3 linked regions of the Macaca mulatta genome follow. The protein of the gene in region 2 interacts with the protein of the main gene of each other region in a biochemical or structural test. Links are inferred from orthologs where the notes say so. Each region holds a gene or a part of one and is shown on either strand. Other genes may lie near its edges.

Evidence for each region.
Region 1: the proteins of SHANK1 (region 2) and WWTR1 interact in a test that uses a peptide from one of them, tested with the Homo sapiens proteins (2 studies listed by IntAct, with this or other methods). The link is inferred for Macaca mulatta from reciprocal best matches to the Homo sapiens genes SHANK1 and WWTR1.
Region 3: the proteins of SHANK1 (region 2) and CACNA1D interact in a biophysical measurement, tested with the Homo sapiens proteins (2 studies listed by IntAct, with this or other methods). The link is inferred for Macaca mulatta from reciprocal best matches to the Homo sapiens genes SHANK1 and CACNA1D.

Annotation. Positions count from the first base shown.
Region 1 is NC_133407.1:52,659,034-52,663,366, forward strand, and holds the start of WWTR1 (WW domain-containing transcription regulator protein 1), read right to left. Parts: upstream 2,905-4,333; 5' UTR 2,644-2,904; exon of another isoform or gene 2,489-2,643; intron 2,189-2,488; 5' UTR 2,186-2,188; coding exon 1,755-2,185; intron 1-1,754. UniProt on the Homo sapiens protein: Transcriptional coactivator which acts as a downstream regulatory target in the Hippo signaling pathway that plays a pivotal role in organ size control and tumor suppression by restricting proliferation and promoting apoptosis.
Region 2 is NC_133424.1:63,103,636-63,107,279, forward strand, and holds part of SHANK1 (SH3 and multiple ankyrin repeat domains protein 1), read right to left. Parts: intron 2,120-3,644; coding exon 1,952-2,119; intron 1,493-1,951; coding exon 1,376-1,492; intron 1-1,375. UniProt on the Homo sapiens protein: Seems to be an adapter protein in the postsynaptic density (PSD) of excitatory synapses that interconnects receptors of the postsynaptic membrane including NMDA-type and metabotropic glutamate receptors via complexes with GKAP/PSD-95 and Homer, respectively, and the actin-based cytoskeleton.
Region 3 is NC_133407.1:117,387,006-117,390,649, reverse strand, and holds part of CACNA1D (voltage-dependent L-type calcium channel subunit alpha-1D), read right to left. Parts: intron 3,020-3,644; coding exon 2,898-3,019; intron 1,702-2,897; coding exon 1,381-1,701; intron 556-1,380; coding exon 262-555; 3' UTR 1-261. UniProt on the Homo sapiens protein: Voltage-sensitive calcium channels (VSCC) mediate the entry of calcium ions into excitable cells and are also involved in a variety of calcium-dependent processes, including muscle contraction, hormone or neurotransmitter release, gene expression, cell motility, cell division and cell death.

The sequences.
Region 1 (4,333 bases), on a different chromosome or scaffold from region 2:
CTCTTATTTCATATTTTTAATAATCACAGTTAATGCTGATCATATACCATACGTATGTGTGTATATATTCATAAACACAGTTTAGAAATTATGTAGGGCTGGGCAAGGTGGCTCAAGCTTGTAATGCCAGCACTTTAGGAGGATGAGGCAGGCGGATCACTTGAGGTCAGGAGTTCGAGACCAGCCTGGCTAACATGGTGAAACCTCCACTCTACTAAAAATACAAAAATTAGCCAGGCATGGTGGTGGGTGCCTGTAATCCCAGCTACTCGGGAGGCTGAGGCAGGGGAATTGCTTGAACCCGGGAGGCGAAGGTTGCAAGTGAGCCAAGATTGTCCCACTGCACTACAGCGTGGGTGACAGAGTGAGACTTTGTCTCAAAAAAAAAAAAAAAAGTCATGTTATTACATCACATACTTGACTCCACCCGCTACTTAGAAGTCAAAGGACTGAGCACATGTACAAACTATCACTCAATAACCCAGAGAAGACCAGCCGTGGCATAAATGACCATCAAGTCTGTTTCAGAATCTCAGCATTATACCAACCTCAGAAACACAAAAAGAACTCCTTGAACAAGATACTAACAGCCTTGAGATGGGGAAGGAATAGGAATTGGTCACTGGTATGAGTCAAAGGGTTCACTATAGTAAACTTCATCCATCACTGTGTATGCATTCTTAAAGCTCTCTCATAGCAATCAAAGCATCAAATATTAGTGCCAAAGAAAGGCTTGATTAAAGTTTTAAAATTGTACATAGTCTTTTGAACTAAGGCTACTCTACTAAAGAAATATAGGCTTTAAAATGAAATCTAAGTCAGTTTTTTAGGAGAGGAGTTTCCCTCACTGGCAGTGCAGGCAATCCTGAACCAAGTGGTCAGGCTGGCACAACCTCCATCTTTGATAGTCTGACCCTATGACCTCGATGGAACATTTCAAGTTCCAGCTTGGTTTCTCCTGAAGAATGTAGTTATCTTAGGGTACCGCAATTGAAACAATCTCCTCTAGTGTTTGAGAATATATTTTCCTGTGGGGTGTAATGTGATAATTTGAACTAATGTAAAATTCATGACATCAAAAAGCTGGAACAATGTGAAAGGAAGAAGAGCAGGCTTGTGATTTGATGGTATTTTAGGTTAACAAGTTTAATGTAATAAAACTCCTGACACAATTTCCACACGATTGATTTGTCCAGCCCACAGCTACTTCACCACACAGTTGCTAATTACATCACTGTGCTGTGTGGTCATTATGTCACCCAGCTGGGAGCACTACGGCCTACCAGCCACTGTTCACTTTTCCAGCTTGCTTTTCCCAAGAAGACAGAACCTGCAGACCACCTACTTCACCAAAAGTCCCTCTGTTCCTCAAGCTTCACAGCTTTTCTCTCATTTATCTTGGTGTCACATCCCAAAGGGCCTGGCTCTGGACTATCTGACTCAGAGTGGCCAAGGAAGGGACTAAGGGTCTGTGCCCAGGAGTTGGCTTCAATCCTGCAGATTCAGAGCAAAGTCACCTGTGTGTTTTATGGTGGATGAACTTCACCACACTCTCCTCCGCTTCTGATCCCTACAATTCCAACACCCAGAGACTCACTCCCTGCTTCCAGCTCTCCATATCTGTGAAATAACCGTGGAAGGACACACACCATCTCTCTCTCTCTGTGTGTGTGTCACACACACATACACACACGAACACACGCGCGCGTTGGGCACTGTGCCTTGGTGCCGTCTTCGGCTCCAAGTTGACTTACTTCAGGAAGTATCTCTGGCCAGTGGCCGTGAAGGTCATCTCCCAGCCCGGGGGCAGCGGCAGCTCGTCGGTCACGTCGTAGGACTGCTGGCGGAGGTGCGCGTGCTGCTGCGCGGGGCTACCCGCAGCACCCGCGCCGGTGCCCAGCTGCAGGGACGCGGGCGACGAGTGCGAGCGGACATGCTGGGCACCCCCAGCCAGTCGAGGCCCCGGGTGGCCGCCCGAAGAGTCGGTGCTGGACTGGCGCGAGTGCGAGCCCGAATCAGGCTCCTTGAAGAAAGACTCCGGCAGGATCTTCTTCCGCCACGAGCTAGGCTTCGGGTTCATGACAGAGTTGAAGAGGGCTTCGAGGTCTGTGTCTAGGTCCTGCGTGACGTGGATCACTTGCTGCCCAGGCGGCGGGAGCGGAGGGGGCGCCGAGGCCGGATTCATCTTCTGCAAAAAGAAGGTCAGATCAGTCTTTTATTTAAAGTCGGAGGAAGTGGGTAAAAGGGTTATAGGGTGAGAGGGCGAGATGGTGGGAGGAAGAATAGAGGGAAAAGGAAACGAGGAGACAGATAATTGCCCGCCTGGAGATCCCAGACACTCAGCGGTGAGACCAGCAGGATGGGGGAGGGGTCCCTCCTGGCCTCGAGAATTATGCAACTTTCTTGAAGCAAAGAAGTTGCCGGGAGGAGGAGAAGGAAGGGCGAGGGGTGGAGGGAGTAACTGCACTCGAGGCTTGCTGAACCGCAGGATGGCAAAGGAAAGGTCGCAGCTTTCCCGGACAGGCAGCCCCCCGAAAGAAGTTCAGCCCGAGCCAACTCCACCACGTCTCGACTCCGGAAGCCTGGGGAGCCTGGAGCCCTGGAGTGGTGCCGGGTGAGCGCGCGAGCTCCAGCGGGCACTACCTGGGCGGGCAGCGAAGCTGAGCCTGAGAGCGAGGCGGCCGCCGTCCCGCCCGAACTTGCCGTCGGGCCTGGGTCGCTCGGGTGAGTCCCGAGATTGCGGAGCTGGAGCCGAGGCTTGGCTGACAAATCCTGACCCGACTCGGTGCCTGGCAGTCTAGGGGCTTCGGCTCTCACATCCCCCGAGCTGGCCTAAGGAGCTCGCGCTGGGCGAAAAGGAGGCGCAGGAGAAGCAGACAGCGCGGCCGCAGCAGCTCCCGGACTGTCCCATAAACAAAGTTTGGAGCAAACTCCCACCCCCAGGAAAGAGGCGGGCCCGAAAGTTGAGCTGTTGAATTATGTATGACCTCCTAGTCCCGAGCCGGCCGGCCCCCGCTCGCCCCTCCTCTTCCTCCTCCTCCTCCTCCCACTCCGGCTCCAGAAAACCCTGGGCGTGATGGGTACTTTACTGGGTAAGAGGAGACGGGTGCCCCCCACCCACTGCTCCCGGCCACGCGGACCTCTCCCGCGGAGCCCTGCATCTGCGTTCCTTTGAGTTTACCACGGACTTGGGGCGGGATCAAAGGGAAAGTGGCCTGAGCCTGTTTCATCAAGGGCTTGTGGACCGAAACCAAGGCCGGGGGTGGCGGAGGGCAAGCGGATGAGGGGCTCAGGCCTAGGAAGGGCCGGTCCTGGACACCGCGCCCTCCCCTGCAGCCAGACGCCGAGGCCGGCAGCACCCGGAGCGCCGCGCTGACCAGCGATTCTGCCCGAAGGCCGGCCCGGGTGCGCCCCGGCGTGGGGAGACTCCAACAAGGCCAGCCTTTCCACGAGAGGCTGCTTAGCTCTTGTGACCATATTTGGTCTGGCGAGGAGGCATCTTGGCTGCCTGGCTCTCAATTGTCTGCTAGAGCACAGACGGTGCCCAGAAAGTGCCTCTGTCACTGGAGATGCGGCTTCGCCAACGGGTGGGTTGTAAACAAACAACTTTCAAACCATTCATCAATCCTTAATTTCCTCTACGGGGGTGACTCAGGCCACTAGGGATTGAGAAGAAACCGGGTCAAAGCTGGGTGCTGGAAGAGAAGAGCAGTTGCGCCCCCCTCCCCCGCAACATCCGTGAGGGTTGTGGGAGGATTGGAATGTCCCTGCCGCCCTCCAGGGAGCCTGGAGCTGGGATGGAACCCGAGCAGGTGGCTAGGAGTAGGGAGGGTGCGCCAATGACCCGAAAAAAGCCACCCACCTTCCCACCGACTAGATCTGGGCGAGGGGTGGAGACCCCCTGCCTCTAGCTAAGGGAAGAAGGTCAAGCCTGGCGAAACAGCTGCGGGAAGTGGGAGGAGGCCTTGCCCTTCAGAGCAGCTCAATTTCTTTTCTCTCTGGTTCCCTTTCCACTGAAGGGAAAGGGTGGGGGGAGATGGCGAGGTAAGCCAAATTCCAGGAAACCCCTACCCCACTCCATTTGATTCAAATAGGAGTTTATTAAGTAAATCAAATGAGACAATGTAAAGCACTTCTCACAGCACCGGGCTGATTACATAAGTGTTAAAACAGAACTGTATGTTCTTCAAGTTCACGTACTGTGCCTTAATTTTTCTTTCTTTCTTTCTTTCTTTCTTTCTTTTTTTTTTTTTTTTTTTTTTTTTTTTTGAGGGAAGTCTCGCTCTTGTCCCCCAGGCTTTAGTGCAATAGCTCTATCTCGGCTCACCGCAAC
Region 2 (3,644 bases):
GGCTCATCCTCTTCAATAAAAGCTGGCGTTATTCCCGTTTCAGGAAGAAGGATGGCGCCTCAAAGAGTCGGGGGGACTTTTTTCCTCCCCCACCCCCATCTGCCCGTGGGGCCGGGGCTTCTTCCCCATCAGCTGCACAAGGGCCTGGGAGTCATAGGATTGGTTGCGAGGCCTGCGCGTCGCAGAGCAGGAGGCAGAAGCACACAGGGAGAGAAGTGCCGGAACCATGTTGGTTCGGTTTGAAAAGCACTGAGTCTTCCCTGGACTCCAGGCATGCTGCTGGCTGCCACCAGGCAGCACGTGGCCACCCGCCAAATCCCCAGCACTGTAAGTTCTGCTGAGGCAGAGGGGGCTGAGGGCTGTTTTGGAAGACTTCCTGGAGGAAGGGGGCTGATAGACCAGCTCTGTCATGCGAGCGCCTGTCCCTCTAAGTACCCCCACAGCTGCCCTTCAAGGGCAGGGAACATCGAGAAACAGGTGGGGAGACTGAGGCTTTCCATAGGGCTGACCTGCCCAGGATCATCTGCAGCACAGGCGGCTAAAGTACCAGAGGTCATGATACTGAAAGCTCTGGCTCTTGCCAACCAGCTGCCATGAGATCCCCTGCCTGCTCCGTCCCTCTCCTCTCCTAGGAACTCTGGAAGTGGGGATGTCCTTCCCGTCTTCCTTCAGCACTCCCTTCCTGCTCAGGGACCCAGGTTGTCAGGACCCCCAAGGTCCTGAATTGCTAAAACTCCCATATCACTCGTTCCCTTCAGGGGCCACAGTGGCTGCACGTTGAACTTTCCCCTGTGCCCTGCCGTGCCACCACGTGGCACCTGCACACACCACTGGCTGAATGGAGACACAGGGGAACTGAGGACCCATAGCCCCCTTTCCTCTGGTTTTCTGCACAGGCTGTGCCCCCACCCTGGAGCACCCCTTTCTCCCCTTTTCTACTCCTGCTCATCTCAATACTAGGGACACCTCCTCCGGGAAGCCACCTCCACCCCCAGCCACTCTATCTCAAGCCCAGTCCCAGATGGGGGCTCCCACAGGGATCTGCATTCCCTGTGACTTTGCTCTGAGCACTCTGGATTGTAGCAGCAAACTATGTTGTCTGCCCTCTGCTAGGCCATGAGCTCAACACTTTATCCCCAGCACCCAGCTCCGGGTCTGATACAGAGAAGGAGCTCAGTAAATATCTGTTGGATGGATGGATGGATGGATGGATGGATGGATGGATGGATGGGTGAATGGATGACTGGATGAAAGGGTGAAATAGTGAAGAAGTGAAGGGTGCAGTGATGCAGTCAAGAGGAGTATCTGAGCTTGGCCCTGGGGGAGGCAGCTATGAGGGATGCGAGGGGCCTGGGGCGGCCACTGCTAGGCAGACCTTGTTGTAGAGGGCGCAGATGTGCAGAGCTGTATTCCCTGAGGCGTTCTGGGCTCCAGGCTCAGCCCCGTAGAAGAGCAGATGCTCCAGGTGCTGAGAGTGACCCCGCTGGCAGGCCTGGGCAGGACAGGGAGCGAGGGGCATGGATCAGACCCAGGCTGTTCTCCCTCTGGGCCAAGAGTCTGTACACAACCTGTACACTGGCCTTCTCATCCTATCCTTCACCACATCCACCTCCCCATCACCTTTTTGCCCCTCTTCCTGCTCTGGGACCCAGGCTGTCAGCCTCACAATCCAAATGTTCAGTCATTCCAAGGCCCAGGAGTCTGGTCTGCCTCCTTCAGAGGGCCAAGAGGCCAGCCCATCCCTCTTAGGGATCAAGGCGTCTGGTTCCCCTGCCTATGCCCCCTTAGGGTCTTCGTGTCTTCACCCCCATCATTTCCTCTTTGGGGACCATGTTATTCTTACCCCCATGCTCTGTGAGGACCCTGGCATCTGGTTCCCAGCCCCAGTCCCTTGGATGCCTCAGAGACTGGGTCCCCCACCCCAGCCCTTCATGGCGTGAATCAGGAGCACCTGGTGGATTTCCTGCCAGCCGTTCTCATCAGCTATGCCCAGCTGGGCCCTGTTGTACAGGAGCAGCTCACAGCATCGGGGGTCACCACCCACCATAGCCGTGTGGAACAGAGGGGTCAGCCCCCGACGGTCCTTGTAGTTGGGGGAACCCCCAAGGTCCAGGAGCGCCTAGGAATGGAAAGAGAACCCAGTAGAAAAACACAGATGACAGTCACACATTAACCAGCTCATTCTGAAGGGCCAGGGGAACTGGACTGTCCTGGGTGACCCACAGTGGCCAATGACAGTGACAGTCTTAGTTCTGCCATGATGCCCTTGTGCGACCTTGAGGCCGGCCCTTTCCCTCTCTGGGCCACTCTGATCCCCTGTGAACAACGTGGGACTTGGGTAGATGCCTCCAGAGGACCCTGGCACTCTGACATCCCACCCAACCCTTCCCCTGGGGGTGACCTTGGATGAGCCATTGAAGGGCATTAGGGGCCACAGTACCCATCCATTCCACCTCCTACAGGTGGGTTGTTGGGGACAAATGAGAGGCCAGAGTCTGGATGCTGGAGGGTCTCTGGCCAAGTGGGAGGTGTTATTAGGTCCAGGATCTCAAAGAAGGGGCATAGCAGGAAGCCAGGGGACAGACAAGTGAGCTTGGATAAGGGGGCAAGGATCGGGCCGGCCTCACTGGGGCTGCAGGCCACTTCCTGCTCCCCCTTGAAAGACAACTCTGGGTGTGGAAGGCTGGCAGTAATGAGCATTAATAGGAGAAAGTGTTGGCAGCAACCTTGTATGAGGACAGCCTGTAGCAGTGCCATCCAACAGAACATTCCACCATCGTGGGGATGGTCTGCAACTGCATCACCCTATATGGCAGGCACGTGTGGTCCCCTGAGCACTTGAACGTGGCTAGTGAGCCTGAGGAACTGAAATTTTAATTTTACTTCACTCTAATTAATTTAAATTTAAACAGCCCCAGGTGGCCACTGGCTACTGGCTTGGATAGCACAGGTCTGGAGGCTGGGAGGGGCGTGCATGAGCAGGATGTGGGTTTGGGAGTGAGTGTGCATGGGAGATACATGAACAGGGTCTGTTAACTCCAGGGGTATACTGAAGATCTTTGTGGCTGGTGTCTGACTGCATTAGGGGCTCTTCAGGAAAGAATCTGAGGGAGAGAGGGGAGGGGCCATTTAGCTGGAGCATCCATGCATTGGGGTGCTTCTCAATGGCTGTCTTTGGGGGCAGCCCATCTTGACCCGCATATGAAGAGGAATCAAGTGTCCTGGCGGGGGCAGGGGGAGAAGAGTATTTTAAAATTAGACTGTGCAGCTGACGCCGTGTATGTATTTTGTGGGTGTATGGGTTTGTCTATTTGGGAAAGTGCATTTGAGGCTGTGTACGTGGGGAAGGGGCTGTATTTGCATGTGAGAGAGGAGGGAGTGGAGCTGGTGCAGTGCTGGGTTTGGAAGGGTAGCTGGGGGACTGTTTTCAGGGTGTGTGAGGAGGGGCTCTATCTGGGGGCATAGCAGGGAACTCACTTTGCATTTTAAGGAATGAGAAGGGTTTACACCTTGGGGAGACAGAGGCAGGTTTGGTATTGAGCTGGGTCACAGGGGATGGAGATGTTCTGGGTGTTCAGGGGAGGAGGCTGCGTCCGGGTCTGCATGATGTCAGCTGTAGCCCAGGTGGGTGCACCTGGGGGACC
Region 3 (3,644 bases), on a different chromosome or scaffold from region 2:
CCGCCTCACCCATCCTCTGTGAGAGGGCGGGGCCTGTTTCCTGCAGCTGGGGCCGAGCTCATGGTGCTCTGCCAGGCTCAACCACTTGGGACCTGTTCCTACCAGGTTTATGGCTTTCTTGAGGCATGACATCTCTTATACAAAAGTCTAATTGAATATTACTCCCAACTAGTGCCTAAACTTTCCTAACTATGAGGCACTTTTCCCCTGGCCCTCCTGTGCCCCACCTGAGGCCAGAGCCAGTCTGCCCCTCGCTGGGGGCTACAAGGTGGTGATGCATATCATTTCATCCGCCAGGTCCTCTTCATCCCTCCCAGGGTCTGGCTCTTCGTCGCTGTAGCCAGGACCAAAGTCCTGTAGCTCATAGTCCTGCCGGTGTGAGAGGGGGCCCACATCCCCGTTGGCTCGGGGACACACGTTCCCATTAAGCAGGGTGCTGGCTGCACTCTCCATCTCGTCGATGGTGAGGTCACAGGCATCAGCGATTTCATGTTTTGTTGCTGACACAAATTTTGGGTCCCTTGCATAGCGTCCCAAGCCTTCAGATATCAGGACCTGTACAGGAAAGAGGGATGGATGGCATGGGGGTGTTATAAGGCTTTGCAGGGCAGGGGGATGACAGAAAACTCCAGTGCTAACTGCACCGTGTGCTTTGGGGATGCAGCTCAATCATGTTTTCTAGACCTCATACATAATAACTAATGTAAATGGCTTTGAAAATGTCCCGGAGCTAAAAAACTACACATGGTCCAACAAGAGTGAAACCCACTGGGGAAAGACATTTAGTATAAACTAGAAACATATGCTGGAACAGCACCTATAATGCCAGCACAGCTCATTTATGAGAATCAATGGTGGTGACCAGTTTTTGTTTGTGTGTGTGTGTGTGTGTGTGTGTGTGTGTTTTGAGATGGAGTCTCCCTCTATCACCCAGGTTGGAGTGCAGTGGTGTGATCTCGGCTCACTGCAGCCTCCACTTCCCAGGTTCAAGTGATTCTCCTGCTGCAGCCTCCCAAGTAGCTGGGGTTACAGGCATACACCACCATGTCAGGGTAATTTTTGTATTTTTAGTGGAGATGGGGTTTCACCAAGTTTGCCAGGCTGGTCTTGAACTCCTGACCTCAGGTGATCCACCCACCTCGGCCTCCGAAAGTGCTGAGATTACAGGCATGAGCCACCACACCCAGTGGTGGTGACCAGTTTTTACTCATGCTTCAGGTACATTCCTGCTGCTCAGAAGTGTCCGATTGAGGCAGCCTGGCTCACAGCCTGGCCGCCCTCCCACCACTGCCCTTCCTGCTGTTGCCCTTCCTGCTGCTGCAGTTGCACCTCTGCTGCTCCTGGTGCTTCCTGCCCACCATGGCCAAGAGCCATACTCACTGCCTCCACCAAGCTGTCTGCGCTCCTCTGCTTGTCGCTGTTTTTGTTCCGGAAGCTGCTGGGGACGGTCAGGCTGGCTGGTGTGAAAGTCCGGTAGGAGATGTCGGGCTCGTCTGTGTACCAGGAACTTCGGTGCAGGGATGGCAGGCTGCCGTTCATCTGGTCCAGGGCCTCTGACTGCTCCACTTGGATCAGGGGGGTGTAGCACGGTGTCCAGTCCCGGTAGGGAGGGGTTGCTGGAGGGGTGGCCCATGACCGGGTCGAGTGACTCGGTGAGTACTTCTGGGCTTTACTTGAATCTAGGCCAGCAACTGCCATGATCTGAGGAGAGAGAGGAGCGTTGGGAGACCAGAGGTTCTCAGAGGTCCGGGCCTCAAACCTCCTGCACACAGACCAAGCACGGGCGCTGCGTTCTCCAGGGGCAGTCCAGGCAAAGACTTGGAAGAGACATGGGTACACTGAATGAATGGGCAGTGACGACTTGGTTTTCTAGCAGACTTTTTCTTTTACCCCGAATCTATAATGTATTTCCTATGGCTTTTCCCAAGGAGTTATCAGTTGCTAATTCATGAAATTGCTTCAGAATGAAGAAGAATCAGGGAAGCCCAACAAGCCGTGGGTGTGAACACACCACCCAGTTCATGCTGGGTTTAAATACCGAAGTACCTTCAGGGGAAACTACCACTTCCTAGCACTTACAGGAAAACATAGCTGGTTCTCTTTGCTCTGGAATAATGCATCCTAGAGCTGGCATTTTGCATGTGCTAAAGCACTGTGTACAAGCCCGGTCCTACAATCCCACCACGGCAGATGCACCTTAGGGTTCACTCTGCAGAGAAGGACGGGGAACCCAGTCTGTAAACAGCACAGGTCCATGCCCACCACCCCATCGTGCACGAATGAATAGCACCTCTGATGTCATATTTTCAGAAAGAAAAAGCGCCATATTCTTATCCTCGAGGGAAAGCCCTGGTGAGTGGGCTCTGGCCCCACCCTCCTGCCTGTGCAGCCGCCCTCAATATGGGCAAATTGTCCTCCCCAGACTGCTCCCTTGGTAGGCAGGGGAGGTGAAGCCCGCATAGTGCCCACACGGCCCTGCCCACGGAGGGACCCATACACTTAACGAAGGAAGCACTTTAGAGAAAATGAAGGGCTGCACCGACTGTTCAGAGTCAGCCAAGTGGCCCCCGCCCCCTGAGCTCAGATCACATCAGGCTCCGTATTCAATGCCCGGAAGAGGTGGTGGGGGTCGCAGGGAGGCACCTGGGTAGAGAGGCCAGCGTTGGCAGCTGGCTCGGATTCCAATGCCAGCGGTCGCTTGCTTGTGTGAGCTTGGGCAGAATGGGGCTCATGGCGACAGCTATTTGGCAGGATTGTTACAAAGATTAACCAGACTGTAGGTGAAGATTCTCTCCTTCCCTCCTGGTGCTTAAGGCCAAAGAGAAGGGAGAGACCTGATGGTGGGTCCTATGTGGGGTGCCCCTGGGCATGGGGGCGAGACCAGGTGGGCCACTCACCTGTTGCTGCATGAGATGCAGAGGCAGGGCCGTGCGGTGGGGGAAGGTGGGAGATGAAGGGACCTCCTCCTGGCTGCTCTGCCGGCGCAGGCACTCGAAGTTGAAGGAGGATCTGCGGTGGGCTGGGAAAGCAAAGGGCATCATGCAACTGTGAAGCAGGTTCTCTGCTGGGACACTGTCTCTCAGTCAGGGTGGTCCCGGACGCTCAGCAAGGAGCCCAGGAAGAAGCAAGTGGTTTGTCCGAGAGAAAGATTAGGTAGTGAGGTCTCCAAACTTTAGGAGGAGAGGATGAAGGCAGAAGCCCCAGTGAGGGATGTTTTTAAAAGTACGAACTTACTACCTTTAAATGTTCGCCTGTTCTCAGGAGGAGGAGCGAAGGCAGCCCCTAGGGCAACTGATCCGAGTCAGAAGCCCTGGCCCTGCATACTGTGGGGTGCACACAGGACTTCAGTGCAAGAACCCAAGTCCTGCCAGAACCCCACGACACTTCCCACTGTCACCTTCCAGATACCCTAAGTGTCCCCAGGGGCTGACATATCTTGCTGGGGCTCCTGTGTTTACACGTGTTTTAAAGGGAGGGACTAACTGCACTGATCAGCTTAATAAGCAAATTTTTTTGTTGTTGGGAAAGATTCAGCTTCTCTAGCACTGAAGACAAACAAGGACAACCCTACCTTTAAGAAAACGCTTGTCCTGCCAACAGCTCTTCCGACAGAGGCTCACACACAGCCTGACAAGACCATCCAC